7 linked regions of the Mus musculus genome follow. The protein of the gene in region 5 purifies or fractionates together with the protein of the main gene of each other region. This does not show direct contact. Links are inferred from orthologs where the notes say so. Each region holds a gene or a part of one and is shown on either strand. Other genes may lie near its edges.

Region 1 (4,280 bases), on a different chromosome or scaffold from region 5:
CATCTCTGAAAGCTCAAAAGCTTTGTGGCACACAAGTGAGATCAACCCACCTACAGGACAACTCTTTATTGGACAAGTTAACAAAAGCAGTTTAGTCAAAAGACCAAAGCCTATGTCATCTTTGGCCAGCCTGGTCTACAGACCTAGTTCCAGGACATCCAGGGCTGCACAAAGAAATCCTATCTTGAAAAACCAAAAAAGAAATACAGAATCTTGTACCCTGCCCCCATTTCATTGAACCATAAACCACATTTTAACAAAAAGCTCGGCTTTCTTCTGATATAGGGTCTCCTGTAGAATCAACTGGTGATGCAGCTGAGAACCATCCTGAACTTCTGGCCCACCTGCCTCCTCCTGTGTGCTGGGATTTTGAGGATGCACCACCATGTAGTTGATGCAGTCTGGGGTTCAAGCCCAGGGCTTTGTGCACGCTATAACCTGAGTTACACCCCCAACCTGATTCTGAGGATTTTCAGTGCCTAGTTAAGTAGCACTATTCTATACCGTGGGTAGGAGATACCACATTGACAGAGGGTAGGTCTATAACATAGCCGAAGCCAGTGGTTTCTGAAAAGGTTCTCAACTTTTCTTTTCTTTTTTGGTTTTTCGAGACGGGGTTTCTCTGTGTAGTCCTGACTGTCCTAAAACTCACTTTGTAGACCAGGCTGGCCTTGAACTCAGAAATCCACCTGCCTCCGCCTCCCAAGTGCTGGGATTAAAGGCGTTTGCCACCACGCCCGGCTGATTCTCAACTTTTCAAAACTAAGTCCTATACAAACTGGATAAAACTTATTTCAGTACCTGGAGTTCTCTCAGCATGCAAAATCCCTTCACCTAAAAACATTTTCTGCGAATTACCAGGCTTCCTTAAAGAAAGGCACGGGCAAGTTAGTGCAGTTAAGTACTCGGAGTTGGGCCAAGCCAAGCTTTCACTCAGCTGGGTCACGTCTGGGGCCGCCCATGTCCTTGGAAGCGCGGAGCAACCAATACAGGCTTCTGGGGGTAGATGGGTGGGTGGGTGTGGGGTGCCTTATGCCACCGGCCCCGAGATGGGCTCTTAAAAAGTGGTTGGCGGCTTTCCCGCCGCGGATCGCTTATTTTTAAGGCTTGAAGACGCAGAATTGACGGAACTGTTTTGGATGGGCCATATCGGGGATCTCGCCGAGGCAGCAGCACTACGGAGCAAACAGCAAACACCTAACAGTTCGGACGGCCCTACGCGACCTTCGAACTCTGACCCCACGCCTTTCTCCTCCGCGCTTCCGCGTGCAGCTTCCGCTCCCGCTCCTCCGGGAAAAGGCCGCCTCCCCCAAGGGCGGGGCTCTAAGGCCGTCAGTTATGGGAGGTGCTGGTTTGAGGCGGGTCTCGCGAGGGCGGGATTTAAAGAGGCATTCTCGATTGGGTTGCCGGGCAGGGGCGGGGCCTGCAGGGTCTAGGTTGGGCGGGGCTGGGAGTTCGTAACCGCCTCTGGGTAACTGGACTCCGGCGATCAAACCTCCGGAGGCCGGGAGAGGCCTGCGGGCTCGCGGCACATCCCGGATCTGGAGTATCCCTGGCAGGAGCGGAGTCAGAGGGGCCGCGGGATCCTAAAGCCGGGCTGCAAAGAACTTGCGAACTTGGAGTAGAAGATCCCGGAACCCGGTAGTAAAATCGGGAAGTCCCGGATCGCGGAACGTAGCTCGCGGAGCGGACTCAACACGGAGACCGGAGGCCGGATCGCTGCACCGCGGGACGGGACAGAGTGATGTCCGGCCGTGGCGCGGGCGGGTTCCCGCTGCCTCCGCTGAGCCCCGGCGGCGGCGCCGTTGCCGCGGCCCTTGGTGCGCCGCCTCCGCCTGCGGGACCCGGAATGCTGCCCAGCCCGGCGCTCAGGGGCCCGGGGCCTTCTGGAGGCATGGGGGTACCGGGGGCCGCCGCCTTCCGCCCCATGGGCCCCGCTGGCCCCGCGGCGCAGTACCAGGTGAGGAGGGCAGGCGAGCGGCGCCGCGAGGGCGCTGTGTCGGTCTCCCTGGGGCCTCAGGTGAGGACAGGCGGCCCAGGGGACACTGCAGGAGGAACTGTCGAGGGCTGGTGGCGGGCAGGCCAGAGTCCCTTGGTTAGTGGCTCGGGGTTGGAGGCAGTGTTGGGGAAAGGGTGAAAGCCCTCTGCGGTGGAGGGCTTGAGCAGTTAGAGGAGTCCCGGGGCTTCTTGGCTCCGAGTAACTTAGAGATGGAGGCTTCGTGAGATCTAGAGAATTGTGGGCAATCAGGTTGAAAGTGTAAGACAGGTCCCGGAGTGGAGGTGAGGGAGTGACCCGGGATGTGGTGAGGAAAATTTGGAAGAGGGTCGTTAGTGAGAAAACAGGGTTACTCTTTCTTTGGCCTCGGTCCCACTGCATCTCTGCCTTGGCTTTCTTTCTTTCTTTTTTTTTTTTTTTTTCTTCCTAGTTGGGAACTGGCAGAGCGTTAGTATGTCTGAGATGGCTCCCAGCTGCTCAAGTTGAGGAGGAAGGAAGCCAGGCTTCCTACGAAATGGGAGACTAAAGAGATTGGGCCCAGATAACTCCAGGATAGATTAGAAATAGCTGTGTCCAGGTCTGAAGAAGGCCCGATCCCATTAACAGACCATTCAAGATATCCTCTGTACGGGGCTTTCCTTCTTGATGCCAGTGTCCAGTAAAGTTTGGAGGAGCAGGGAGGCTTTGTGGAGTCCTGCTGGTCTTGGGCTGCACAGGGTACTGCCCTGACCCTTCTGTCTTGGCAGAGAGCTGTCTCAGGTTGCAGCATCAAAGGCCATTGACAAGCAGAGACAGGACCCGTGGTCAGTGCATTGGGAACTCAGCCTGATTCTGCATGTGGCGCTCCTCATTCCCCAGAGCTCTGGTTCAAGTGGCTCCAGAATGTTTGGGAATTTTGTTTTGCTTTTGCATTTTGGTGCTGAGCATGGAATCCAGGCAGGGCTTTGCACGTGGCAGACGATTGCTGTATCAGGGAGCTGCACCTCCTTTCCTGGGGATTGTGCCCATCCTTCTCCCACATCCTTGTCACTTTTGTTACTTGCTTTTTGATACAGGGTCTCATATAGTCCAGGCTGGCTGTGTAGCCAAAGCCCACCTTGAACTCTTTTCTCTCAAGTGTCTGGCATTACAGTCACACACTATCACGCCCAACCTCTCTTTCCTTATCCCTCAGGTTCCTGACAAGGCCATATGTCTCTCAACCTATGTGCCAGAGAGGTGAGAGGTGTGCACTGTAGCTTGCTCTGTCCCCTGCTGGTGTCTCTAGGTAGAAGTCTCAGAAATAGATCTTCATGATGTATGCATATTCCACCCAGGAATCAGATTTCTTTTTTTTTTTTTAAAGATTCATTTATTTATTATATGTAAGCACACTGTGGCTGTCTTCAGACACACCAGAAGAGGGCATCGGATTTCGTTACAGATGGTTGTGAGCCACCATGTGGTTGCTGGGATTTGAACTCGGGACCTTTGGAAGAGCAGTCGGCGCTCTTAATCACTGAGCCATCTCTCCAGCCCAGGAATCAGATACCCAGGAGATACCTAACTGGGGGTCGGAGTGGGGATAAGTGACCCCCTTCATTTCAACTCCTATCTAAAAAGAAAATGACGAGTTTGGGTATAAACAGAGATAGACGTGGTTCCAAGGATACTAGCGGGGTTTATCTTTCCCATGTGGCTTTCTTTGGAGATTCATGGGCCTAGTATATCACTGATGAGTCTCTGCGTCAGCCCTTGGCTCTGCTTGTTTAGAGCTGGTCTGGAAGCTTCCTACAGGCACTGGGGATGTCTGTTTGGTTGGTTGGTTTTCCAAGTCTCTCTATATAGTCCTGGCTGTCCTGTAACTCACTATGTAGACCCATTTCCTTGGAAAGCAGCTGATAGAGAACATGCCATTGGGAAAGCCCCTGTTGAAGACTGGAAGATGGATTCCTGCATATTTTGTAGAGTAGCCTTGGGTCTATGCTGAGGCCAGGCTGGCCAGCCAAATGGCTGCGGCTGCTAGTTGTGAGAAAGGAGATAGCCTTGAATCTGGGCATCCCATACCAACTATGTTTCCTCTCCCCCTCCTCCTCCTCCTCCTCTTCCTCCTCCTCCTCCTCCTCTTCTTCTTCCTCTTCCTCCTCCAGGGAAAGGCAGGGGAAAGGAGGGAAGGAGAACCCAGTTAGCATTGGTTGAGTTTGAAGGAGATCCCGCTTGCTTCTTCCCATGTCCAACTTCCAGCAAGTCTTGGGATCTGAGGCCAGAGGGGCTCCTGGTTAGAGTTCTTGGGGTGAGCAGACTT
Region 2 (4,289 bases), on a different chromosome or scaffold from region 5:
TTGTCTTGAAGGGAGGGCATCAGCTACAAGCGGGACAAATGTAGTTGTCTCAGGGTGACCTAGCAGCATAACACCCGAGTTTGCCTTTAAGCCAACTGGATGTCAGTCTATCTGCCCCTATCCCAGGCTGGTCTCGAACTCAGAAATCCGCCTGCCTCCCCCCCCCCGGCCCCCCCCCCCCCCCCCCCCCCCAGTGCTGTGATTAAAGTCTTGCAGGAACTACTTCACTCTCAGGCGGCTGATCAGCAATAGAGCGCTGGCCTAGTGGATGTGAAGCCCTAAGTTCAACACCCAGCATTGCTGGAAGAGGAAAAATAAAATCTCAGGGAAGGAAGTCCAGCCCTGAAGGCCACACATACACACACACACACACACACACACACACACACACACAGCTGGCCTAGTGGATGTGAAGCCCTAAGTTCAACACCCAGCATTGCTGGAAGAGGAAAAATAAAATCTCAGGGAAGGAAGTCCAGCCCTGAAGGCCACACATACACACACACACACACACACACACACACACACACACACACACACACACACACAGTGAACCAACTGGAGAGGTATTTCGGGTGTCAATCACCCTTCAGTCTGGTTCCTGCGAGGAAAAGGGACACGGGGTTGGGTGTGGAGGCGATGACGAATCTTGAAGCTGCAGCAGCCCAGAGCCCCACCGGCCTAGGTGCTCAGCAGATAGGTCACCCAGGCGATGATTTAAAAGGACAGCACGCCCACCCAAGGCGGCAGACCGCCCCTCCCTGCCCCGCTGCCCGCCCAGGCCGCACCCACTTGGGGGCGGTGCGCCCGAGCTTAGTTCTGGTGGGCGGACGCCGCGGCTTTAAGCCGGGGCGGGACTGAGCGAGGAGCAGCAGCGGCGTCGGCGGCGAGAGTTCTTGGGGACTCGGGCCCGGATGCTGGGGGCTAGTCGGCAGGTCCCGGTAAGCGCAAGGGAGGGCGGGTGAACGGTCCCGGGAGATGCACGCGCGTGCGTGTCTCAGGCGTGGGAGAGAGTCGGTGCAGCACGACGGCTCCACGGAGAAGTGGAGAAGGCTGTCCCTGCTTGACCGAGGTCCTTCCGGCCCCCCAGGAGCCCTCCTAAACTAGATCAGCCACACTGCAGCATTTAGTCCTCCGCGGCGCCGGGCTGCGCTGGAGCGGATGGAGGGACGCGCAGCGCTAGCGGCCGCGGAGGTTGGCCCTCGGCGCTTGCCGTAGCTCAGCGGCCTGCTGGGGGGCAGTCGCTGAGAGTCCCGGGAAGGATCGGCGACAAAAGGAGGGAACCCGAAGGCCGTTTGCGACGCGAAGGGATTGAGTGAGGAGTCGAGGGGGCTGCGGCACCCCACCAAAGCCATCCTGGCATCTGCGGGCCTCCACGCAGGCTCCTGGCTCTCTGGGCCAGACGCTGAGAGTGAAGGTAGCGGCGGCTACGGCGCCCCCTGGCGGCCCGGAGGCGCGTTGTCCAGCCAGCCGGGCGTCGTGGGCGGGGCGGACCCGATGGAGGACGGCGGGCTGTGGGGCCGTTTGCCTTTTCCTTACCTGGGTGGGGACTCCGTGGGCTCGAGGGCATCCAGGCCTGAATCCATATCCTCTCGAAAAGCTCAGAACCTCCTTCCAGAATCCACAGGCGGATAGGGTAGCCCCCTGCTTTCAGGTTCTTGGCCCAGGGAGAAGCTAGGCCTGGTCCCTGGGAGGATCGGGTGGGAGCTCGGAAGTGGCACTTTTACTGAGTGGCTTATAAAAAGGAGATTAAGTGTCGCAAAAGTTTGCGCAGATGATTGGGCTATAGCTCAGAGGGTAGAGTGTCCCCCTAGCACACCAAACCCTGGGTTCGATTCCCCAGAACCTCCTAGCCCTGGGGTGATGGTACACAGGCCTGTCAGGGGTCGGGGCTGGAAGCTCAACAATCAAGGCCAACCGTACATCTACATCAGCCTGCTCCTCCTACCCGAGCTACACAACACCGCCTCCACAGCAGAAAAGCTAGATAAAAAGTTTGGCCAGGATTAGGGCTTCTGTTTTGTTCTTAAGAATGCCTTGACCCTGAGTCTAGTTAATAGTCGGTGAGTATGAGGGACCTCCAGTGTTTGAAGGAGGAACTCTGATAGGAAAAGCAAGAGTTTGCCAAGTCACGGTAGCAAGGCTGATAGTATCCTTAGCTTTTCTCTTCTCTCCCTAGGAACAGGGTCTCTGGTATTATGTAGGCCTGGCTGGTCTAGAACTCACAGAGATCCACAGAGTCCTGGGGTTAAAGGCGTGCACTGGCACACTCAGCTTTTTATTTTTTAAGCATTTGCTTGTTTGTGTATGTGTGTTCGGCATGCATGTGGAGCTAAGAGGTCAGCCTGTGGGACTCAGTTCTCCCCCTCCACCCTGTGGTCACATATCAAGATAGGTCTCCAGGTTTGGCTCCAAGCGCTTTACCTTATGAGCCAGGAGTCAACGTTCCTGTTTTCCAAGTCACTGTGGTGCTTTTAAAGTATGCTTTGGGGCCGGTGAGTTGGTTCAGTGGGTAAAGGTTGCTTGCTGCCAAGCCCGATGACCCGAGTTCAATCCCTGAGACCCACACGGTGGATGGAAGGAACAGACGTCCCACAAGTGGTCCCCTGACTTCCTCATGTGCTGTGTGGCACACACCTTCTTCCACCCCAGTTAAGAAAATGTAATGATAAAAAGCATGCTTTGTGTTTTGTGCCTCGACTGTAGATAAGATCCACAGTCTTTGAGGTAATGCTTAGGAGAATAGTTTATTATTTATACAATACTGGGGGATAAAACCCAGGACAAGGCTCTACCATGATGTAGTGTGTATATTTTCCCAAGGTCTCAGGTAACCCTGACTAGCCTAAAATTCACTATGTACAACAGGCTGGCCTCTTGTCCCCTGCGTGCTGGGATTAAAACCATTTGCCCCCATGCTTAGCTGGTTTTATATTTTCTTAAACTGGTTGGGGTGGGATGGGGGGAGTATTGAAGAAGAGTAGTATTTCATGATGAATTCAGATTATGCAAAAGGTGTCCTTAAGCCCTCCTTTTTGTTTTGTTTTTTTGTTTTTTGAACACCGCTGTTGTCATTCATTTATGTGTTAGTGACTCCTTCCTGAGTGCTGGGGAACTGGGTAGACATTGCACAACTACAAAGATTCAAACATTTCCTGTGTGGCTCCCCCCACCTCCTCCATGACACTTTGGAGATAGTGTCTTATGTGTCCCAGGCCCCCATCTGTACTTCTCCCGTGCTGGAGAGGTTGTGGGATTACTCCGCTTTATGCAGGGCTGGGAATCAAGGTCAAGGCTTCATAAACATGCTAGGCAAACCCTCTCTCCACTGAGCTATAGCCCCAGCTCTCCCTCCATTCTGCACAGCTCGTTGTACAAAACGTTTGCGATCTCCTGGTTTGTTGAAAGAAGGCTATGTAACGGGAAAGAAAAGCTTCCATGTTGAAGAGAATGATGTTGAAACAGTGCATTTGGACACACTGTCCACAACAAAAACAACCCACAGAAAACAGTGATTTCCGCAAATCCTTTAGAGCTTGGGCAGTGGAACAGCTCAGCAGGTTTCGGTTCCAATCACCAGCCCTGATGACCTGAGTTCGAGTCCCTGGACCTCTGTGTGATTCCTCTGACCTCAATACATCTATTAAGGCACAGGAACCTCCCCCCCCCCCCAAACACAATGAAAATATGAATGTAATTTTAGAAAGTACTGAGGTAAAATATTTCACAGGTTACAAGCTCCCCATGTCCCTGCCAGCTGCTGACGGGATGTCTCTCTTCACAGGCTGGATAAACTCATGGACTTGGCAGCTCAGGCTTGAGAAAAACACAAACTCAGAAGAAAGATGGCGTTCGTTGCAACCCAGGGGGCCACGGTGGTCGACCAAACCACTCTGATGAAGAAATACCTTCAGTTTGTGGCAGCTCTCACGGATGTGAATACACGTGAGTCTGTCCTTTTTTGCACACTGAGAGGAAGAGCAAACCTTAGTGTTTGTCCTTGGTCTCCCCGTCTACCTTGTGGAGAAGCACAATGATGAACAATACTGCTGGAGCCACAGAGAGGCACAAGTGTGTGTGCCAGATTGCCTGTGTGTATGTGTGTCCTTGTCTGTGCATGCACACGTGAGTCTGGGAGGATGGATGTGTGTGACTGGTGGTAGGGACCTAGCCCTGTGCCATCTTCTGGGCTGTGACAGTCAAACTGATAAGATCTGATTGCTTCTCTTCAGTCCCTAAATCCAGTGATTTTTGAAGCCTCCCTAAGGCAGTTTCAATGAGCTGACTGT
Region 3 (4,180 bases), on a different chromosome or scaffold from region 5:
TTTATCTGGACAGAACACATGACCAGCAAACAGCCCGGACTACCCACAGGAGGCTCTGGTTCTCCAGCAAAAGTGCACTCGAACGAGCTCACTTGCACAGCTAAATATAGTGCCAGAGCGCAGCACTGGGTGAGCATGAGCTGCTGGGTGGAGAGTTTGGGGGTGCTCATTAGTCTGATGATCCCCTTGGAGCAACAGAGAGCCAAGCCTTTGGGGGACTCTCACACTTAAACTGTGGTACCTCCAAGGAAAGTTGGGAACACAGAAATAACCTCAAGGATTCAAGGGAGGAAACATGGCCTCAAAGGCTCAGCACAGATGGGTGGCGGGCAGGGATGGGGACCACTGAGATCATCCACTGATACTGCTAAATCCAAAGGGCAGCATCACCAGGGCCAAGTCAACAGCAACCCAGACCCCAGGACAAAACCGTGCAGCTGAGGAAGCAGACACAAAGGACCATTGTCTTTGTATGCAGGGAACACAGCCCCCCAGCCCCCTCCCGGAAGCTCCCAGCAGGAGTGGTGAACTGCAGTCAGGTTTCCTGCTGAGCACACCGCACCAAGCACCCGGCACAGTGCCACCCCTGCAGCTCCCTCCCTGAGCACCAACCACAGTGGACCTTGAACTCACGTCCTCCAGGAGCCGGCCTTCTACCCGGAGCTCCCAGGAAGCCACCGTCCCTTCCCCATCCTCCGCGTCCGACTTAGCCGGATTGAACGTGTTAGAAATGAAAATTCGCAGCTTCCGTTTTTGCTGAGGAAGGCAGAAACAGGATCGACAGTGGAGCTTCGGTAGTAAAGGTCCCCTAAAACTCCCAAGTGACTCCTCACTGGCTGGCTCACTACAGGGGACAGAGACTCCACTCGGAAGTGTACAGTCCCGACCTGAGCCTGGGTGCAAGTGAATGCACCAGGGGACTAGGGAGACAAAATTGTGCAAAGTGGCATGTTCCCAAGGTAGCAAGTGGTTACAGCAAAAAGCGCGCACGGGTCTATTTCTGTCTAGAGCCCTGGATAGCTCCCCCCCAACCCCCCACCCCCGCCCCTTTCCCTGCCAGCTGTTAGACTCCTATGCTCCTAATGTAATTCCTGGTTTGTAGGCGGAAGGGAAAGATGCAATTTAAATGCCACAGAGAGCTGTGCTGTGCCTTTGATTTTTCCATCCTGAGCTGGAGAGAGACCTGGGCCCCTCCCTTGACCCTCAGCCTGGTACTGTCCTGTTACCTTGATGGGACGTTTCAAGGCCTCCTGGATATCTAGCCGCTTCCTCATAATAGTCTGGTCCAGTTTCCTTTCAAAAGCCAGGAGATCCATGTAGGCCTGTGATTCTGGGACCAGTTCCCGAATCTTAGGAACAGAAAGACAGAGATGGGATGGGGCAGCCCTCGTTCTGACCACTTCTATTCTCAAAGCCACTACCCCTTCAAGGAGACCTCTGCAGCTGCACTCACCCTTTGAGGTAGGATTTTGTCAGCCATCTTCTTTTTCTTTGCACTGTTCAGAATAAATACTGTGATCAGGTTGGGATAGGAACTAGTCAGAACGTGAGCAGTGTTGTGAGCACCTTTGTTTATGGTTACAGCCAAGGCCTACGAAATGACTCTCCATTTAAAGACGCTACCTCTCCCATGACCACCAAAACTCCACTGCATCATGAGGCCCTGTTAGTCCCTGCAGCACCGTTTGGTGCCACAGCGCTGACTTCCTGGTTCTGCATGCCCACCACCAGCATCCTCACAGGCCTCCTCTCCCCCATACCCTTCTTTCCTTCACCCCCAGGGGTCATCTTACTTGTGATTTCGATTTTGGACCGCCTGCTGCTGGACCTGCTGGATCTGTTGAGGTGCAGGTCTCTTGCGGGACTGGTCCATCCCTGACTGGGCCAGACCAGGTCGGACTGAAGGGTTCCCCCCATAGCCAGGAGGTCCCATGGAAGGTCCCTGAGGTGTCATTCGGCTACCTGGCAGCATACCTGGTCTCTACAGAAGGGAGAGGACCCAGAAATGTCATACTTTTCCTTGCTAGCCCCACCAAGAAAGGAAAAATGGTGGCAGCCTGGATTTCAGGAGTGGGTTAGGGCTGGGGGTGGGGTGGGGGGACAACAAGACAGTCCTTTGCTTCTTTGAAATACAGTCACTGGACCTTCAGTGATTTCATTGCATATAGTCTAAAAACTAGATTATACTCAATTTTTCTGGTCTATGCTGGATCTGACTCACCAGACATGTCTAGTCAGCCCTACATTTCTTTTTTTACTAGCTACTGTCTCCTCTAAAGCTGACCTCCATTTGCAGCTATAACAGCCTGGGTATTCCTGGGGACACGGGGGCTGCCCACTCCCCTCTGCATTCCATGACCATCCCAGGGCCCACTTCGCCCACCCTGGTTCCACACTCACTCCTCACATGGAAACAATGCCGCCAGGAGCAGGTAAGGATGCTAACCTCCTCCCCCCCCACACACCTCCACTCCCGGCCCGAGCCCCTCCCCAGGGAGTCCCTCCCACTTCTCCCTCACCCCTGTCAGTCCTCCGCCCTCGCTCGGCCCCGCCCCCGGCCCGCGCGCCCCTCCTCCTGTCCCACTCACCGGATAGGCCGCCCCGGGCATCGGAGAGCGGTACAGCCCTTGACCCGGCGCCGGGCCCATTCGCACGGGAGGCCCGGGAGTTCCGCCCGGGCCCAGAGCAGCCGCCACGCCCGCTCCTCCTGAGGCTCCCGCGCCGCCGCTCGGAGCCACAGACTGGAAACCCGCCCGGGCCGCCATCTTCCCGGAGCCGCCGCTGCAGCTGCACAAAGAACCGGAACCGGAACTCCCCCCGCCCCCCGCGCGCCCCCCGAGCGCCTGGGCTGTTTGTGGGCCCGGCCCGCCGGCGGGCACAGGCGGCTCGGAGCAGCGAGACTACGGGCTAGAGGGGGCGACTAGCGGGAAAGGCGTGCTGACCACTCCCTCCCGCCTTCACGGGCCAGGAGGGAGCACCATAGAGAAGCGGTGTGCGGATAAAGAGGTGCCGGGAGCGAGCGCCTCCACGCGGTTGGAGGACGGTAAAAAGCCTTGCAGAGAGCCCAGCCCATCCGGCTGGCGGCTGGAGTGATGCTTCACCTTGGCCCAGTGCATTTACCTCTCCAAAGCATTCTGGTTGCCTTGCTTTTCGTTCTCCTACTGCTCAGACTCCGGGTACTAAAGAGGAAAACGTGCTGTTTGTTCGTTCGGGAAAAGTAGAACTCGAAGGAGATCAATGTCGTGGCAAAGACAAATCAGCAAGAGAAAACCCATGCCGGGCCGTGGTGGCGCACGCCTTTAATCCCAGCACTTGGGAGGCAGAGGCAGGCGGATTTCTGAGTTCGAGGCCAGCCTGGTCTACAGAGTGAGTTCCAGGACAGCCAGGGATACACAGAGAAGGCTCGGGACCCTTCACCTCAGACGTTTAACTTAAGATTTTGATGCGTTTTTTCCCGTGACTTTTCTCCAAAGAGTCCTGGATATTTGTTGCCATAGATAACTGCTGGTCCCCTGCCCAGTGATCAGACGAATCCTGAGCCTGTCTTTTCCCAGCAGGATCAGTGTTTACCTGATCAAGTATGTAGGGTCTGGTGTAGCCCAATCTAGCGTTAAACTCACTGTGTAATGGAAGATAGCTGCTCCATCTCCTACCTGCTGGAATTACAGGTATAACCACCACACCGGGCTACCACTCAAATTCCCTTACTCTAGTTGTGTGGCTCTCAAGGCAAGCTCCATTCTAAAGGTAACACCCACAGTTTGCAACTAAAAACAGCACTGGGCAGGATAATGGCAGCTCAGGCTTTTAATCCCAGCATTTTGGGAGGCAGGAGGATCTCTGTGAGAGTTCGAGGCCAGCCTGGACTACAGAGCCGTTCCAGGACAGCCAGGGCTACACAGAGAAACCCTGTCTCAAAACAAACCAAACAACAAACAGAAAACCAACACTGAAGAGATGGTTGAAACCCAGTTTATTAGACCAGAGGCATGCGTCACCCAGAGCCCCTCCTGCTGCCCCCCCAGCCAGTGTACATTTCTCAGCTTTGCCCTGTTTCTTTCTGGGGAGTTCTGATCTCTAAACAACTCTTGAGAACCAAGAGGTCTCAAAGATGCCAAAGCCTTGCTCTCTGGCTCCAGGCCAACGTACACAGGTGATCTGCCCATAAGTCCTGTTTTGG
Region 4 (3,500 bases), on a different chromosome or scaffold from region 5:
TATGTGCTGGCTTGAGCTTCAGGCATAACCAAGCTGCTTGACTGCTACAGTGGATGCTTAAGAGATCCACTGGAGGCCAAGGAAACTGAAGGCCAGCGACTGGAGTGACAATATAAGATGAATTCCCATGGGGAAAATAGAAACCTGGCTATGCTATATAGGGAGGTAGATATGATATATGGATGGTCTCTGCTATGATATATTCAACTGATGTAATCTACACCACACTGGCAGATACAGGCCAAGGAGTTAACCTCAGCTGAATGCTAATATTGCTCGCTTACCCTCTGCGAGGCGATGGGAATACTAATTAATGGTCTGGAATGCCCGGTAGTTAACACAGCTTTTTCTGCATTCATTTTGAAGTTCTTTTAACACAGCAGAGGAAATAATAGCTCTTCGTTGTGTAAGAAAAATTTTTTCAAAGATTTCGGAATCAGTTGGCGTAAAACCATTTGCTGTGATTAGAAAATGAAAACTATTTAATTAATGATATTAAAGATGTTTATAGTTGTTAGACATTAAGATGATACATAATAAGAAAAATATGGTATCTTTTATATATGGGAGCTGTAGAGATGATGGCGTATAGATACTGAGCCCTATTTTATAAACAATGAAAATGAAATAGCTATTTATGTTTGTGTGTTTAAATAGATACACATATCTACTTTTTGAAAGCATATATTTATGTGGTATTTTGCCTGCACGTATATCTGCATTATATGCATGCAGTGCCCGAGGAAGCCAGAAGTGGGTGCTAAAGCCTCAGGAACTGGGTTGCAGATGATTGTTAGCTACCATTTGGGTGCTGGGACCCTAACCCTGGTCCTGGCCAAGAACCAGTGTGCTTAACCACTGAGCCATCTCTCCAGCCTATATCTGGTTTTGAATCTTCTTTTGTTTAGTCCAGTTTCTATCAGTGCTTGCCTTCAACCTAGGGAATTTTTCTTTTCAAAAGTCTGATTCCTTGTATGACAAAAGTCATGTTTTCCTCTTAAAAACCGTGTAAAACAAAAATCACAGTAAAGATGCCCTTGGACACACAGCCCTCCTCACTGCACCATAAGTGGCTGTGGTAAGTGGGTAGATCAGGACCCTCTCTGCCACAGGTCACATCGCAAGCCCCTGCAATTCTGAAAATCTCCCAGTACAGACTCAGGATATGAGGAGTCCCCAGTGTACCCCCATCCTCAGCAAAGCTGATGTCATTTAGTCATACTTTTCTAAGGGCAGGAGTAGGAAGAGTGACAGAGAGCGCAGACTTTCAGTCTCCTACTCCTAGGCACAGCCACAGCCGGGTAGAGGTGAGAGAAGAGAGACCTTCCTCTGACCTTACACTGTTTGGGGGGCTACAGTTTTTTTCAAGCCAGCTCTGCTGGGGTTGGCCCAGTTATGCAAGCCTGGTGCACCCTTACCAAGTGGTAAAAGAAACACCTAAGACGACAAAGGCCATGCGTGCTGCCTGGGTACTTGGGGCTCCTGTCCTACCACCAAGCAGGAAGGATCTTAAAGAACAAAGTAGTGTGTTGAGTTACCATCTCCTGCTAACGTCAGATGAAGCTGCACAGCTGACTGCTGCCGTCAGCACTCTGCTTTCTCCTCCAGAGCCGAGGTTCATAATACCCGTTCTCCTTTTCAGTTACTCCCGAGGCGTGGCGTGTGATGATGTCCCTTAAATCGGGTCTGTTGGCTGAGAGCACGTGGGCTCTGGACACCATCAATATTCTCCTCTATGATGACAGCACCGTCGCCACCTTCAATCTTTCCCAGGTGAGGCAGCTGCACACAGCTGGCAACAAGTTGGCACGTTATAAAATGAAGTAATGCATAATGCTGTGCTGGTGCAGTGACCATCCAAGACTTGGAATCTTTGTAGCTAATATAAAGCAGCATTAGTTAATATGTAGCCGCCTATGTACTCAGTCTGGGATAATAATTCATTTCCATCTTCAGGGTGCGTGCGTGTGTGTGTGTGTGTGTGTGTGTGTGTGTGTGTGTGTGTCAAAGAGAGAGATAGGAACAAAGAAATTGTTTCAGTAGGAATAATTAAACACCAACATGAAGTTGGAACTGATATGAGTTACAGAAAGTACTTCTCAGTACAACTTAATATCTTTCTTTTTACGTTACTGATTTGTAATTATTTGTTTGAGGCAGAGTCTCATGTAGTGCAGCCTTCAACCAACTATGTGATGTAGACCTGCTCCCGTGTGCTGAGGTTGTAGATGGGTACTGCCACATCCCATGCTGTGTCTTTTTCCTCCAATGGAAAAGAACACATTTAAGAGAACAGATCTCAATGGGCCCTAGGTCCCCACCAGCAGCCGTGCCTGCCTCCAGGTCACCTCCCCACATCTGCCTTTCTCCTCTGGGTTGTCTTGAAGTCCTCACTTGAAACCCTGCTTCTTCCGGGAAACATCCCACAACACCCTCACCCAGCCCCCCAGTTCGGAGCTGGCCTTAAAGTAGCTTGTAGCAGTTTGACTAACAGCAGGAAGCCTGAGAAAATCGCCTGAGTCAGTGAGGCTATGGGCTTTAAACTGGTGTTTAGGATAAAAATGAGAGGCTTGTTCTCCCTGTGGGCTGTAAACCGCTCACCACCTGAAGACTCCGGGCTGGCTCTCTAGTTCTCTGCCCTGCTGTTGAAATAAGACCAGAGCTTTCCACCACCCCCTTTCTTTCTACTTTGTCTTCGGTGTAGGCCAGCAGCAATTCTCAGCTGGTGGAGTGTACTAATGTGTCACAAACATCACATGCCCTGATGGTGGTGTTTTGTGTTTAAGATGTGTCCTTAAAATCATGTGTTCTCCTCTAGAACCTCCACCCTCACGGTGGATGAACTCTGCCTGCTTGTACGGTTTTATGCCCAGAAGTCCTCGATTAACCCAGGGAGACTTGTGACAGGGAGGGAGAACCACCCAGACTTCCCCTAGGGAGGATACCTTCAGAATCACAAAAGCGACTGCTTGCTACAGCTTATGTCCCCTCGCCTGAGACAGGTGTGCCAAGCCCTGAGAACAGAGAGGAGATGTGACACCGTGGTTGGTTTCCACAGCATCAGTCACACAGAGCCCTCATTGCACGTCCTTACAGCCCGAGTAAGGCAGGCAGGAGAGCTCGGCTTCCCACAGACCGACTCTGCCAGTGGCTCTTGTCTTTCATTTAGCATTGTGAATAACTGAAATGTAAAATTGCATTTTATAAAGCAGTCTCCTTCATTTATCAGGGACTAAATTGATTTGTTTATAATTTTCATTCTTTATGAAGCTGCTACGTTACTGAGATTATCTCTTTCAAAAGAGAGAGAGAGAGCATAAATCAGGGCACCTATGGCACCTGAGACAAGAATAACCATAAACCCTAAGAATAATAACCATAAAAAGCCCAGCAGGCGACTCCCACATAAACAGTAGAGGAGCAAATAGATTCACTTTGGGTGCAAGAGTCTATAAAAGCCTTGCTCCTGCTCCTCACAATGCACCCCCTAAGTCATGCAA
Region 5 (4,003 bases):
ACTGTTTTTGAATCATTTAAAATGTAGTAATACACACACGGTGGCATGTGCCTATAATTCCAGTACAAGGAGGCAGAGGCAGGAGGATTACAACTTGGAGACTAGCCTGGCCTACACAGTGAGACTTTCTCTCAAAAAACCCAAATCCAAACCATCACTGTCAGCTCACAGCACACAGTGTCAAGTGAACGGGAGAGCATTTTCTTACTAGCGTTATTCCTGAACCTATGACAGACAGGTCAATTCCTGCCACCTTAATGGCAGGGAAATGGATGAGAGTTTATTCAACCCACCTAAGGTTACAAGTAGCCACTATGTAGCTAGACCCTAGACACTTCAATTTAAGCACTGCTACCAGGTACAGAGCTACATTACACTTGAGCTTTGGAATGGCAGGACTGGTTTGGGCCTTTGGTTATATAGATCAGGCTATCTAAGGCCTAGAGAAGCAGAGGGACAAATTGTTGCAGTAATTTGGGGTAAGAAAAGACAGTGTTCTGGGCGACACTGATAGAGATGTAGACTAAGAACAGTAGACACGGATTGGGGAGGTATTTACAAATGGGTGCTTCCTTGAATAGTGCTCCACTTGCTTGGTGAATGATTTTCACAGAAATGAAAGAAACTGAAGTCATGATTTTTAAATGCTATCTAAATCTAGCTGGAAAAATGTACTGTCTTTTAATATAAATAGCCATTGTTTAAAATGATGGATCCTATTATTATATCTGATTTGCTGATTAATTCAAAGTGAAGTGCACATTTCTTTTTCAAGTATAAATGTTAGTTGAAGTATTTCTGCTTAAAAAAAAAAAAATTCCGAATTCATCACAATCAAAGGCCAGGGATCTCTCCCAGGTAACTAACTCAAGTTCCAGATTCCTTGCACTCAAGTTCCTTTGGCTCCTGGGGAGCAGCCATCCTTTAGAACCAGAGCGGTTGATGGCCTGAGGCAAGCCTCTTAATTCCCAGTACCTAATTAACTCACTCTCGAAACCCGGCCCACTCCTGCACCAAGCCCCTCCCACTCGCCCGCCCACCTAAGACTCCTCCTACTCTATTCGCGCGCGAAGCACAGCTCCACCCACTCCCCCCGCCTTGCTCCTGGAAGCTCGGTCCACCCTACCGGCCGCTCGCGAAGCTCCACCCACCTCACCCGCCCGCGAAGCTCCGCCCCCTCCTGCCCGTACCCCAACACCTTCCCTTCTTCTGTCGCTTCTCCCTCTCCCTGCCCCTACGGATGCCTTCCATTGGCTAAGACGGCTAAACCGCGCGGGGATGCAGCAGCGCCACACTCTGATTGGCTAATGACTAAGCCGGACCCTTTGTCATTGGTTGATACGAGAAACCAGCAAGAGTGGCTGTGCAGCGGGCGTGCGGCCGCTGCTTTGTTGCCGGAGGGGGCGGCGTTGGAAGTTGCAGGCTTGCGGGGCCGGCGTTCTCAGGGAGAGGAGTCACGCCGCTGTTATCTTTCGTCCGGTAGTCTTCGGCCAGTCCCCGCCAGACAGTAGCCATGAGCGGCGGCGTGTACGGCGGAGGTGAGTGAGCGCAGCGGCGCCTCGGGGCGTGCGGACCGGAACGACCGGCCTGGTCCCTAGTCGCTTCCGTTTCCCTCCGGTCCTCGGCGGGCCCTTCCGGTCTTTGGACGGTGCTTCCGGTCCCCGTATGGGCCACGGCCTCTCCTTCTCTTCGGACCCGGGCCGGCGCGCAATAGGTTTCCGGCTTGTCCCGTCGCTGCTCCGAGATGGCCTCAAGGAAGGGCCTTGGCGCGTCTTACCGGCTGGGCTCTGATGGCAGTCCCTGGCACGCCGGGTCCCTCACTGTACCGGTTCCGCCGCGCGTTGGTCCCGGGCAGCTCGCGGAGGTTCCGGGCCCCCGGGGTTGGCACTGGGTGCGAGTGGCGCCCGGTGTTGCGGCTGCTGCTCTGGGTCCTTCAGCAGCCACTACAGCCTGGACATCGTTCCAGGCGTGCTCGGTCCCCAGATGAGCGGATCCCTGAGGTACAGGCTGCAGTTCTCCTGTCCGGCTGGGCGGGAGCCTTTTCTAGATCGGCGATAACGAAAACAAGGCTTCTAAGTACTGTTTTGTTTAAGAGTAGTTACCTAGTTAGAGACTCTCCTCTAGGGGGGATGTTGACAGGAGATGGTGCTGCCATCCCTCACGTTAACGAAGAAAAAAATATTGGCAAGAGTTAAACAACCAGCTCAAAGTTTAAAGACTCGTTGTAAATTGGGAGCAAATTGCTTCTGGGATGAGGCAGGGGTATTCCTTTCTCTGCCGTGTACAGGTAACACGCACCCATCAAGAGTTAAATAGTATCCTCACACTAACAAATCTATATCTGCATTGAGTCAGTAGATCTGTGCCCACTCATTTTAACTGCTGTGTAGGGTTTTCTGAGAATAAACTATAGTAGTTTCTCTAGGAACGGTAGTCTTTTCCCTGGCAAGAAGTGTGACAGTAATAATTACCGTTAGCTAATATTTATCGGCTTATTGTTTGTCAGCACTGTAAGTGCTTTATACATTAAAACATTCAAGGCATTTAGTCATCCTATCCTATGAGGTAAGTATTAAATACATTTTTCGGATTAAACTGTAGCAGAGAAGTTAGTAAATTACCCATCTCACATAGTGTATTAGTCATTTTTCAGTTGCTGTGATTAAAAAAAAAAAAAAAACCAAGAAACAAAAAAACAAAATCAGCTTCTAGAAGAAAGAGTTTACTTTAGCTTATGATTCCAGAGAGGTAAGAGTCCAGTTTGAGAGAGGTATGGCAGCTAACAGCAGGCATGATGGTGGGGCAGGAATCTGGGCTCACGTGTCCAACCTCAAGCATGAAGCAGCTGGAAATAGTGGGGGCTTTAAACTCAAAGCCTGTCCCCCAGTGACAGCTTCCTACATCAAGGCCCACATCTTCTAAACCTCCATAAACAGCACCACCAACTGGGGCCCAGATGTTTAAATATCAGCGTCTATAGGAGACATTTTCATTCAAACAGTTGCATATGCATCTCCTTTTAAACTAGGAATTTCTCCAAACTGGGTATGTCTAAACTAAATAGCTCTGTGATTCTCTTTGGGTGCCTCTTTGTAACTAGCACCAAACTGGGTAGATTGGGCATAGATTGGCTTTAACTAGAGAAACAGAAGAACTTTTAAGGCCTTAGCATTTGAGTAATGTAGGTAAGTAGGATTAGTGTTTTAAATTTTGAGGGGGACCCCATTGAAAAACCAGTACTGAGAAACCCAAGTGCATTATCCTAGGAGGCCTGCTGTTTGGGGTGAAGTATTTGGAAAATATACATGGAGGCTTTTCTCTAAATTAGACTGAAAAAGATTGCCAGCTTTTTTCTTACCACTAAACTGTCTCCTAAAGTCTGGAATGTGTAACTTAAATGATACGTTCATTAAATGCTTTTTACTTGGCCTGTATAAATTACACTCTAATTTCCATGCTGTGCAGTTTTCATATTTTGCTGTGTTTCTTCATTTCATGAAACAAAACATAATTCCCCATAATTGATGAAATTGTACTAGGATGTATTCGGTGGTTTTTATTTTTCTTTCCTTTGTTTGTTTGTTTGATTTGTTTTGTGCCACCAGATTCCCTTGCTGTCATTTATACACATCTTGTGCCTGTAGAGATGGCCTCTGGGCTTTCTCAGCCTCTGGTTTCAGCTTTGAACTTTGATTTGGTGATGGTAGGGTAACTATACTTTTTGCCTGTGCTTTTTGTTTTAGTATAATCGTTAAAAGCTGGTGTTCCCCACCCAAGTTAAAATGCCCCAATTTGGATGCTGCATTATAGAGTCTTCCTGGGATTGCAATCTGAGCTTGGCCCTCCCTCCCTGAATAGGCAGCTTAGCTCTGCATCATTCAGCTGTTACCACAGCTCTCAGCAGAAACCTTCTAGGTTCTGGGAACAGTTTCTTCTTGTTTCCTCAGTTTAAGGATTATGAGGGCAGTCCTTTGTTCATCCTTCTGTACCTGGACTATAGAAG
Region 6 (3,500 bases), on a different chromosome or scaffold from region 5:
TTTTTTTTTTTTTTTTTTTTTTGGTTTTTTGAGACTGGGTTTCTCTGTATAGCCCTGGCTGTCCTGGAGCTCACTTTGTAGACCAGGCTGGCCTCGAACTCAGAAATCTGCCTGCCTCTGCCTCCCGAGTGCTGGGATTAAAGGCGTGCGCCACCACGCCTGGCTTGTAGCTGATTTTGAAGGAAGGAAATAACTTGAGTTGACAGAAGCTGGAGGCATTTTCAAATCAGAGTACTAACAAATCCAGCCCGAACTCTGGTGCAGTGAGGGCAGTGCAGGTGGCCTCAGGTCTGCAAGGACAGAGGAAGACATGGCTGAGTCTTCAGCCATGGTGAGACACCAGCATGAGAGATGGGGTCTTCCAAAAGAGGAAGTGGGAGGCAAGGCAATTGCCAAAGGTCTTCTGGTACCCAGTAACAGTTTTCCATTGGTACCGGCAGCTGGAATACCAGAGGCAGCAGCTCCTGGCCGACCGGCAAGCCTTCCACATGGAGCAGCTGAAGTATGCAGAGATGAGGGCCCGGCAGCAGCACTTCCAGCAGATGCACCAGCAGCAGCAGCAGCAGCCACCAACCTTGCCCCCAGGCTCCCAGCCCATACCTCCCACCGGGGCTGCTGGACCACCTACAGTCCATGGTCTAGCTGTGCCTCCAGCCGCTGTGGCCTCTGCCCCTCCTGGCAGTGGGGCCCCTCCTGGAAGCTTGGGCCCTTCTGAACAGATTGGGCAGGCAGGGACAACTGCAGGGCCACAGCAGCCACAACAAGCTGGAGCCCCTCAGCCTGGGGCAGTCCCACCAGGGGTACCCCCCCCTGGACCCCATGGTGAGTGTGGGTTCCAGGATATGTTTGCTATAGAGCTACAGGCAGATGTTCTGGTTCCTTTGAAGGGAATACCTTGGGTATAAATGTTTGTTGCAGTTCCTACAGGTGAACTCCATTGTATTCTGTCCCCAAACTAGCAGGGATGTGTTCCCAAACACAGATACATGGAACTTTATTCCACGAATCTACAGCTTATTCTAGTGCCAGGAGAAAGGGGATAGCACCAGCAGGTAGCTGTGCAGCTTGTGCGGTGGGTAAGATTCCACCCCCTCACCCTCGTGTTCTCTTTATTTCTAGGCCCCTCACCGTTCCCCAACCAACCAACTCCTCCCTCAATGATGCCAGGGGCAGTGCCAGGCAGCGGGCACCCAGGCGTGGCGGGTAATGCTCCTTTGGGTTTGCCTTTTGGCATGCCGCCTCCTCCTCCTGCTGCTCCATCCGTCATCCCATTCGGTAGTCTAGCTGACTCCATTAGTATTAACCTTCCCCCTCCTCCTAACCTGCATGGGCATCACCACCATCTCCCGTTTGCCCCGGGCACTATCCCCCCACCTAACCTGCCTGTGTCCATGGCGAACCCTCTACATCCTAACCTGCCGGCGACCACCACCATGCCATCTTCCTTGCCTCTCGGGCCGGGGCTCGGATCCGCCGCAGCCCAGAGCCCTGCCATTGTGGCAGCTGTTCAGGGCAACCTCCTGCCCAGTGCCAGCCCACTGCCAGGTGAGAAGGGGCCAGGAGGGGAAAGGGTGAGGGAGAGGGCTCTACATTATGGGAGGGAGTCAAGTAGGGAAAGGGCTAGATCCTAGAATTTCCACAGCCCTGTTCAATGCTGTGATAAAACTAGAGCACAGGAGGAAGGCCTCTTTGGCTGTCCTCCATTTCCCAACTGGGCAGCTGCCACCGCTGGGGTGACAGGGCTTTCACTGGTGGGTCATGGAGGAATCCAGTGGTTCAGAGGACCTCAGCTGTAAACCTGGAGCCTAGCTACCGTCTGCATGGCGATGGCTTTCCTTGAGTGTTCCCACCACATTCAGATACCCTATTTAGACCTTGGGGAGAGGAAGAAGGTTTGGGATATAAGGTTTTTCCAGTGTCAGGCGGAAAAGAGTGTTGAGAAAAAGAAATTACACATAGTGGGTACCTCATTCATCTACCCACCCACTGCATGCCATGCCCAGTTCTGTTTGTGTGTGGAGCCTGGGACTGGATCAATCCCTCTGCGTGCTTCAGCTTATTCATCTTCCTTTTCTCCACAGACCCAGGCACCCCGCTGCCTCCAGACCCCACAGCTCCAAGCCCAGGCACAGTCACCCCTGTGCCACCTCCACAGTGAGGAACCAGCCAGCCATCTCTCCCCCTCACTCCCCATGGAGATCACAGTTCCAGGAACAGCCCTCCCCCACTACTGGGACCCTCCCTCAGCCTGAAGAGTTCATCACTACGTAAGGAAAGCTCCTCCTGCCCCCTCACCACCCCCACCATGCCCAGCAGAGGTGTGCAGTTTTATATCCAATTATTATCCACGGACTTCTGACTAAAAGATGTTTCTAATGCCTGGGAGAGAGAATAGGAGGGAAAGATGTTTATACGAGGTTCTACTAACTGGTTCTGAGGGTCTACCCCTTCAGAATTACTGCATTTTTGAAGTGATAACATGAAAATGAAACCCTTTAAAAGGGAGGTTTTAAAAAAAGACACTTCGGAGCCCACAAAAAAAGAACTTTTTTAATTATTATTATTATTATTTTGAGGGGAAAGGGCAGGTTTTAAGAGGAATTAAATTTCTGGGGCAAGGTGTGAGGTGGAATAGGGCACCGAGCCTGTCTCCCTGAGCCCTTGGCAGTGCTGAGTCAGCTCCCCTCACCCATTCCAGTTTATTCATACAAATCCCTCCTGCTGCTCGTCATGGTTGCTGTTTTAGGCCCAGTTCAGCCAATGACCTTTTCCTCCAGTCAGCTTTGTGTTTGTGTTTAAGTCACCTGCTTACTCGTCAGCGTCTGTGTACTTGTGGGAAATGTAGTTTTCGGGGATTCTGTGGTAGGAAATAGAGGAAGAAGGGGCCTCAGTTGGGCTCTTCTTCCTGCTTTCCTAGTTGTATCTGTGAGTGCCCAACAGGCATCAGAGGGGGAGCTCTAAGAGGATGGGGGGCCTGCAGACCCTCAAGTTTGAAAAGCACTTAAGCACCTACTTTTGACAGTGGGACAGTCTGCTAACTTCTGCCCCCACCAACCAAGCCTGACAGAACCCAGTGATAGCTAGGAGTTCCCCAAATGAGGACAAAGATTTGGGAGCAGTGCAGCGTGCCTCTGCACTCCAGGTCTTCCTCTTCACCCCCTACTTGGAGGCAGACACAATTCCAGGCCGCACCAGAGCCTGGCCCCTCCCACCAGGCGCTTTGCTCCTTCTGTCCCAGCGTCTCCTTCCTCTGCATCTCCACACCTTTCTTCTGTTCAAAGTCTTCTGTAAAATTTTCTTTCCTTCTTTGTTCTTTTCTTTTTCCTTTTTTTTTTATAAATTAATTTGCTTTCAGTTCCATCTTGTGGGTGCCTCTGTGTTCTCTTAGCTGTGGCTGCTAGGCAGGGAGCAGATTGGGCTGGGGCAGCCTTCCTGGAGTCCCTCACTGGACATTCACCAGGGTTGCAGAGGCCCACAGCCATCAGCCTCTTGCCACAAGA
Region 7 (3,500 bases), on a different chromosome or scaffold from region 5:
GATTTGTTTATTTTTACTTTATGTGTATTGTTTTTAATTTGCATGTATGTCTCTGTGAGGGTGTTGAATCTTCTTGCACTGTGGATATAGATGTGAGCCGCCATGTTGGTGCTGGTCCTTTGGCAGAGCATCTTAACCACTGAGCCATCTCTCCAGCCTGGTTTTCTTTGTGTGTGGGTGTGTGTTTATGGGTGCTTTTCCTGCGAGTATGTCTGTGTACTCCATACATGACTGGTATCCTCAGGCCTGAAGAGGTCGTGGGATCTCCAACTGGAGTTAACAGACATTTCTGAACTGTCATTTGGGTGCTGGTAAGAGCATATAGTCTTGATTGCTGAGCCATCTCATTAGCATTTATGCTCTGCCTCTAAGTATGTACATGATGGGTTTTTATGATTCTTTATAGTGGAGAATGAACTTTGTACACCTAAAATGTGGTGCTATGGTACTGTTACTTAGTAAGTACTAGGAACTAACATAACATAGCTTTCTCTCCAGCATTAGCTGTACCAGGTTTTAAATCCATGTCTTTCTTTATCTTGCAGTATGTTCATGCAGATGCTCCTACCAATAAAACACTAGCTGGACTGGTGGTGCAGCTTCTACAGTTCCAAGAAGATGCCTTTGGGAAGCATGTCACCAACCCAGCTTTCACCAAACTACCTGTAAGTGCATGAACTTGTTAGTAGGCATCTCCAGTTTCTGTACTTTTAGGTGTTGCTTTTAGTTGATTTCCCTTACTATTGCCAGGCAATATAGGGAGAAGGGGGAACAACTTGTACAGAGGAGGTGTTTGTTTGTTTGAGACAGGGTTTCTCTGTATAGCCCTGACTGTCCTGGAACTCTCTGTAGACCAAGCTGGCCTGGAACTCAGAAATCCACCTGCCTCTGCCTCCCGAGTGCTGGGATTAAAGGCATGCACCACCACGCCGCCTTGTTTTTGAGACATCCGCCTTGTTTTTGAGACATCGTCTCACAGAGCCCAGGGCTGGCCTGGAGCTATCTGTATTAGAGGCTAGCCGTGAACTGTTCCTTGAACCTTTACTTCCTGAGCTGGGATTACTGGAGTGTGCTGTCATCTTCAGCTTAGTGGTGGAATTCTTTTGGGCTGTGCCATTTAATCTCTTGTATATTCTGCAACAATCATGGAGAAGTAATATTCTGCTATGGTTGCTCTCTGCTGTGTTGTCTATACTGATACTTGTCTGTTAGAGTACTCTGTGTGTGTGTGTGTGTGTGTGTGTGTGTGAATTAAAAATTTTAAATTTATTTACTTATGTGTGCTTGTATGTGTATGGACACATGCCTGACACAGCAGGCTTGTAAAGGTCAGGCCAGCTCCCAGGAGTCGATTTTCCCCCCATGTGGGTCACAGGGAGCAAACTCAAGTTGTCAGGCTTGGTAATAAGCGCCTTGACTTGCTAGCTTCCTTCTCTACCACATGAAGTATGTTTATTAATTTACACAGAGGAAAGCATTGACCAGGATGAGTGTCCTCGGCAGTCAGATAACTGGAATACTCTATTGCAGAGCCACAGCAAAGAATGCTTACACAGAATTGGAGACCTTTTGTTCTTTCTGGTTTTTAAGCCTCGGGCCTTGTGCATACTAGGCAAGTTCTGTAACAGTCTGATTTGACTGGTTCACATTAAAGGTCTGTGATAATTTCTATACTTGTAAAATTATATAAAGGGACAGTGAGGTGGCCGAGCAGATGAAAGCACTTGCTACCCTGCTCTGATAGCCCAGAGTTCCATCTTTGGAACCTGCACAGGGGAAGGAAAGAACACAGTCTCTTAAATCACCCTTTATGTTAGCACTAGTGCTATAGCGCTTGTGTGCCCTCCCACAAAATAAGTAAATACAGTGTTGTGTTTTGTTTTGTTTTGTTTTTCACACAGGGTTTCTCAATGTTACTAGCCCTAGCTATTCTGGACTCACTTTGTAGACCTCCAACTCACAGAGTTCCGCTTGCCTCTGACTCCCAAGTGCTGGAATTAAAGTCATACACCACTGTTTCCAGCTAATAAATACAAATTTTGTCAATTAAAAATCCTTTTTCTTTCTTTCTTTTTCTTTTTTGGTTTTTCGAGACAGGGTTTCTCTGTGTAGCCCTGGCTTTTTTTGTTTGTTTGATTGTTTGTTTGCTTGTTTGGTTTGACTTTTTTTTGAGTTTCTCTATGTAGCCTTGGTTGTCCTTTAATGTAATCTGTCAACCAGGCTAGCCATGAGCTCAAAGATTCTGCCTCTGTCTCTCTATGTCTTAAGTATTGAAATTAAAATTGTATGTCACCATGACTGGAGAGATGGTTTGGTGATTAAGAGCACTGGCTGGTCTTCTAGTGGTCTTGGGTTCAATTCCCAGCAACCACATGGTGGCTCACAGCTATCTGTAATGGGATCCAGTGCCCTCTCCTGGTGTTTGGAGACAGTGGCATTATACTCAAACATGAAATAAATAAATCTATATAAAAAAATTATATGTCACCATGCCCAACTAATAAAAATTCTTAAATGACTATACTTTTAACTTTTATGTACCTGTGTGTGTTTCTTTGTGTGGTATGCACATAGCGTATGTGCATATATGCAGGCAAAATGCCATACACAAAATAAATCTAAGATATATATAGCAACATAATATTCAGTGTAGTCTATCAAATGTCACATGATTTAGAGTAAAATCTGTGCATATGTAAAGTACTTTTTGTTTCAGAGACAGTCTCTAGCTATGGCTGTTATAGAATAAAGCTTTTTATTTGGTTTTGATTTTGTCTGGTATAATGTCTAGTATAAATATACACACCTTTTATCCCAGCACTTGGGAGGCTGAGGCAGTTGGATCTCTGCATTCAGGGCCAGCTTGGTCTATATAGTGAGTTCCAGGACAGCCAGAGCTGCACAGTGAGAAACAAAACAAAAATCAGATGTGTTTTTTTCCTCTCAAAATCAGCGTTTTCTCAAATGAGTTTTCTGGTTTGTGATTCTGTAAAAGGAAATTGCATGAGAAAGACAGTTAACAGTGTCGGTACTTTATTTTTTGTTTTTATTTTTTTGAGACACAGTTTCTGTTTTGTAGCCTGGCTGTTGTAGAGCTCACTCTAAATCAGGCTGGCCACAGCTATCCTTGCCTCTGCCTTGAGTGCTGGGTTTAAAAGTCTGCATCACTGCTAGGTCCTTCCTGCCAACTATTTATTTACTTTTTTTTTTTTAACATTTATTTATTTATTATAAGTACACTGTAGCCGTCTTCAGACACTCCAGAAGAGGGTGTAAGATTTCGTTACAGATGGTTGTGAGCCACCATGTGGTTGCTGGGATTTGAACTCAGGACCTTCAGAAGAGCAGTCAGTGCTCTTAACCACTGAGCCATCTCTCCAGACCCCTATTGATTTAATTTTAAAGATTTATTTGTTATTATACATAAGTATACTGTAGCTGACTTCAGATGTACCAGAAGAGGGTGTCAGATCTTATTATAGGTGGTTGTGAGCCACCGT

The links.
Region 1: the proteins of Actl6a (region 5) and Smarcd2 fractionate together in Homo sapiens (co-fractionation; 5 studies listed by BioGRID and IntAct, with this or other methods). This does not show direct contact. The link is inferred for Mus musculus from reciprocal best matches to the Homo sapiens genes ACTL6A and SMARCD2.
Region 2: the proteins of Actl6a (region 5) and Trrap purify together in Homo sapiens (affinity purification with mass spectrometry; 7 studies listed by BioGRID and IntAct, with this or other methods). This does not show direct contact. The link is inferred for Mus musculus from reciprocal best matches to the Homo sapiens genes ACTL6A and TRRAP.
Region 3: the proteins of Actl6a (region 5) and Smarcd1 purify together in Homo sapiens (affinity purification with mass spectrometry; 8 studies listed by BioGRID and IntAct, with this or other methods). This does not show direct contact. The link is inferred for Mus musculus from reciprocal best matches to the Homo sapiens genes ACTL6A and SMARCD1.
Region 4: the proteins of Actl6a (region 5) and Arid1b purify together in Homo sapiens (affinity purification with mass spectrometry; 5 studies listed by BioGRID and IntAct, with this or other methods). This does not show direct contact. The link is inferred for Mus musculus from reciprocal best matches to the Homo sapiens genes ACTL6A and ARID1B.
Region 6: the proteins of Actl6a (region 5) and Smarcc2 purify together in Homo sapiens (affinity purification with mass spectrometry; 8 studies listed by BioGRID and IntAct, counting the BioPlex papers as one, with this or other methods). This does not show direct contact. The link is inferred for Mus musculus from reciprocal best matches to the Homo sapiens genes ACTL6A and SMARCC2.
Region 7: the proteins of Actl6a (region 5) and Smarcc1 fractionate together in Homo sapiens (co-fractionation; 8 studies listed by BioGRID and IntAct, with this or other methods). This does not show direct contact. The link is inferred for Mus musculus from reciprocal best matches to the Homo sapiens genes ACTL6A and SMARCC1.

Annotation. Positions count from the first base shown.
Region 1 is NC_000077.6:106,270,173-106,274,452, reverse strand, and holds the start of Smarcd2 (SWI/SNF-related matrix-associated actin-dependent regulator of chromatin subfamily D member 2), read left to right. Parts: upstream 1-1,480; 5' UTR 1,481-1,744; coding exon 1,745-1,960; coding exon of another isoform or gene 1,961-2,020; intron 2,021-4,280. Other genes in the region: Tcam1 (testicular cell adhesion molecule 1), read right to left, coding at 802-819. UniProt on the Homo sapiens protein: Involved in transcriptional activation and repression of select genes by chromatin remodeling (alteration of DNA-nucleosome topology).
Region 2 is NC_000071.6:144,767,305-144,771,593, forward strand, and holds the start of Trrap (transformation/transcription domain-associated protein), read left to right. Parts: upstream 1-1,489; 5' UTR 1,490-1,543; exon of another isoform or gene 1,544-2,063; intron 2,064-3,784; 5' UTR 3,785-3,845; coding exon 3,846-3,945; intron 3,946-4,289. UniProt on the Homo sapiens protein: Adapter protein, which is found in various multiprotein chromatin complexes with histone acetyltransferase activity (HAT), which gives a specific tag for epigenetic transcription activation.
Region 3 is NC_000081.6:99,700,907-99,705,086, reverse strand, and holds the start of Smarcd1 (SWI/SNF-related matrix-associated actin-dependent regulator of chromatin subfamily D member 1), read right to left. Parts: upstream 2,801-4,180; 5' UTR 2,766-2,800; coding exon 2,589-2,765; exon of another isoform or gene 2,297-2,588; intron 1,982-2,296; coding exon 1,794-1,981; exon of another isoform or gene 1,585-1,793; intron 1,497-1,584; coding exon 1,454-1,496; exon of another isoform or gene 1,350-1,453; coding exon 1,227-1,349; intron 757-1,226; coding exon 634-756; intron 1-633. UniProt on the Homo sapiens protein: Involved in transcriptional activation and repression of select genes by chromatin remodeling (alteration of DNA-nucleosome topology).
Region 4 is NC_000083.6:5,337,574-5,341,073, forward strand, and holds part of Arid1b (AT-rich interactive domain-containing protein 1B), read left to right. Parts: intron 1-1,642; coding exon 1,643-1,773; intron 1,774-3,500. UniProt on the Homo sapiens protein: Involved in transcriptional activation and repression of select genes by chromatin remodeling (alteration of DNA-nucleosome topology).
Region 5 is NC_000069.6:32,707,343-32,711,345, forward strand, and holds the start of Actl6a (actin-like protein 6A), read left to right. Parts: upstream 1-1,203; 5' UTR 1,204-1,513; coding exon 1,514-1,538; intron 1,539-1,593; exon of another isoform or gene 1,594-2,000; intron 2,001-4,003.
Region 6 is NC_000076.6:128,486,815-128,490,314, forward strand, and holds part of Smarcc2 (SWI/SNF complex subunit SMARCC2), read left to right. Parts: intron 1-440; coding exon 441-822; intron 823-1,119; coding exon 1,120-1,545; intron 1,546-2,081; coding exon 2,082-2,158; 3' UTR 2,159-3,500. UniProt on the Homo sapiens protein: Involved in transcriptional activation and repression of select genes by chromatin remodeling (alteration of DNA-nucleosome topology).
Region 7 is NC_000075.6:110,135,024-110,138,523, forward strand, and holds part of Smarcc1 (SWI/SNF complex subunit SMARCC1), read left to right. Parts: intron 1-545; coding exon 546-665; intron 666-3,500. UniProt on the Homo sapiens protein: Involved in transcriptional activation and repression of select genes by chromatin remodeling (alteration of DNA-nucleosome topology).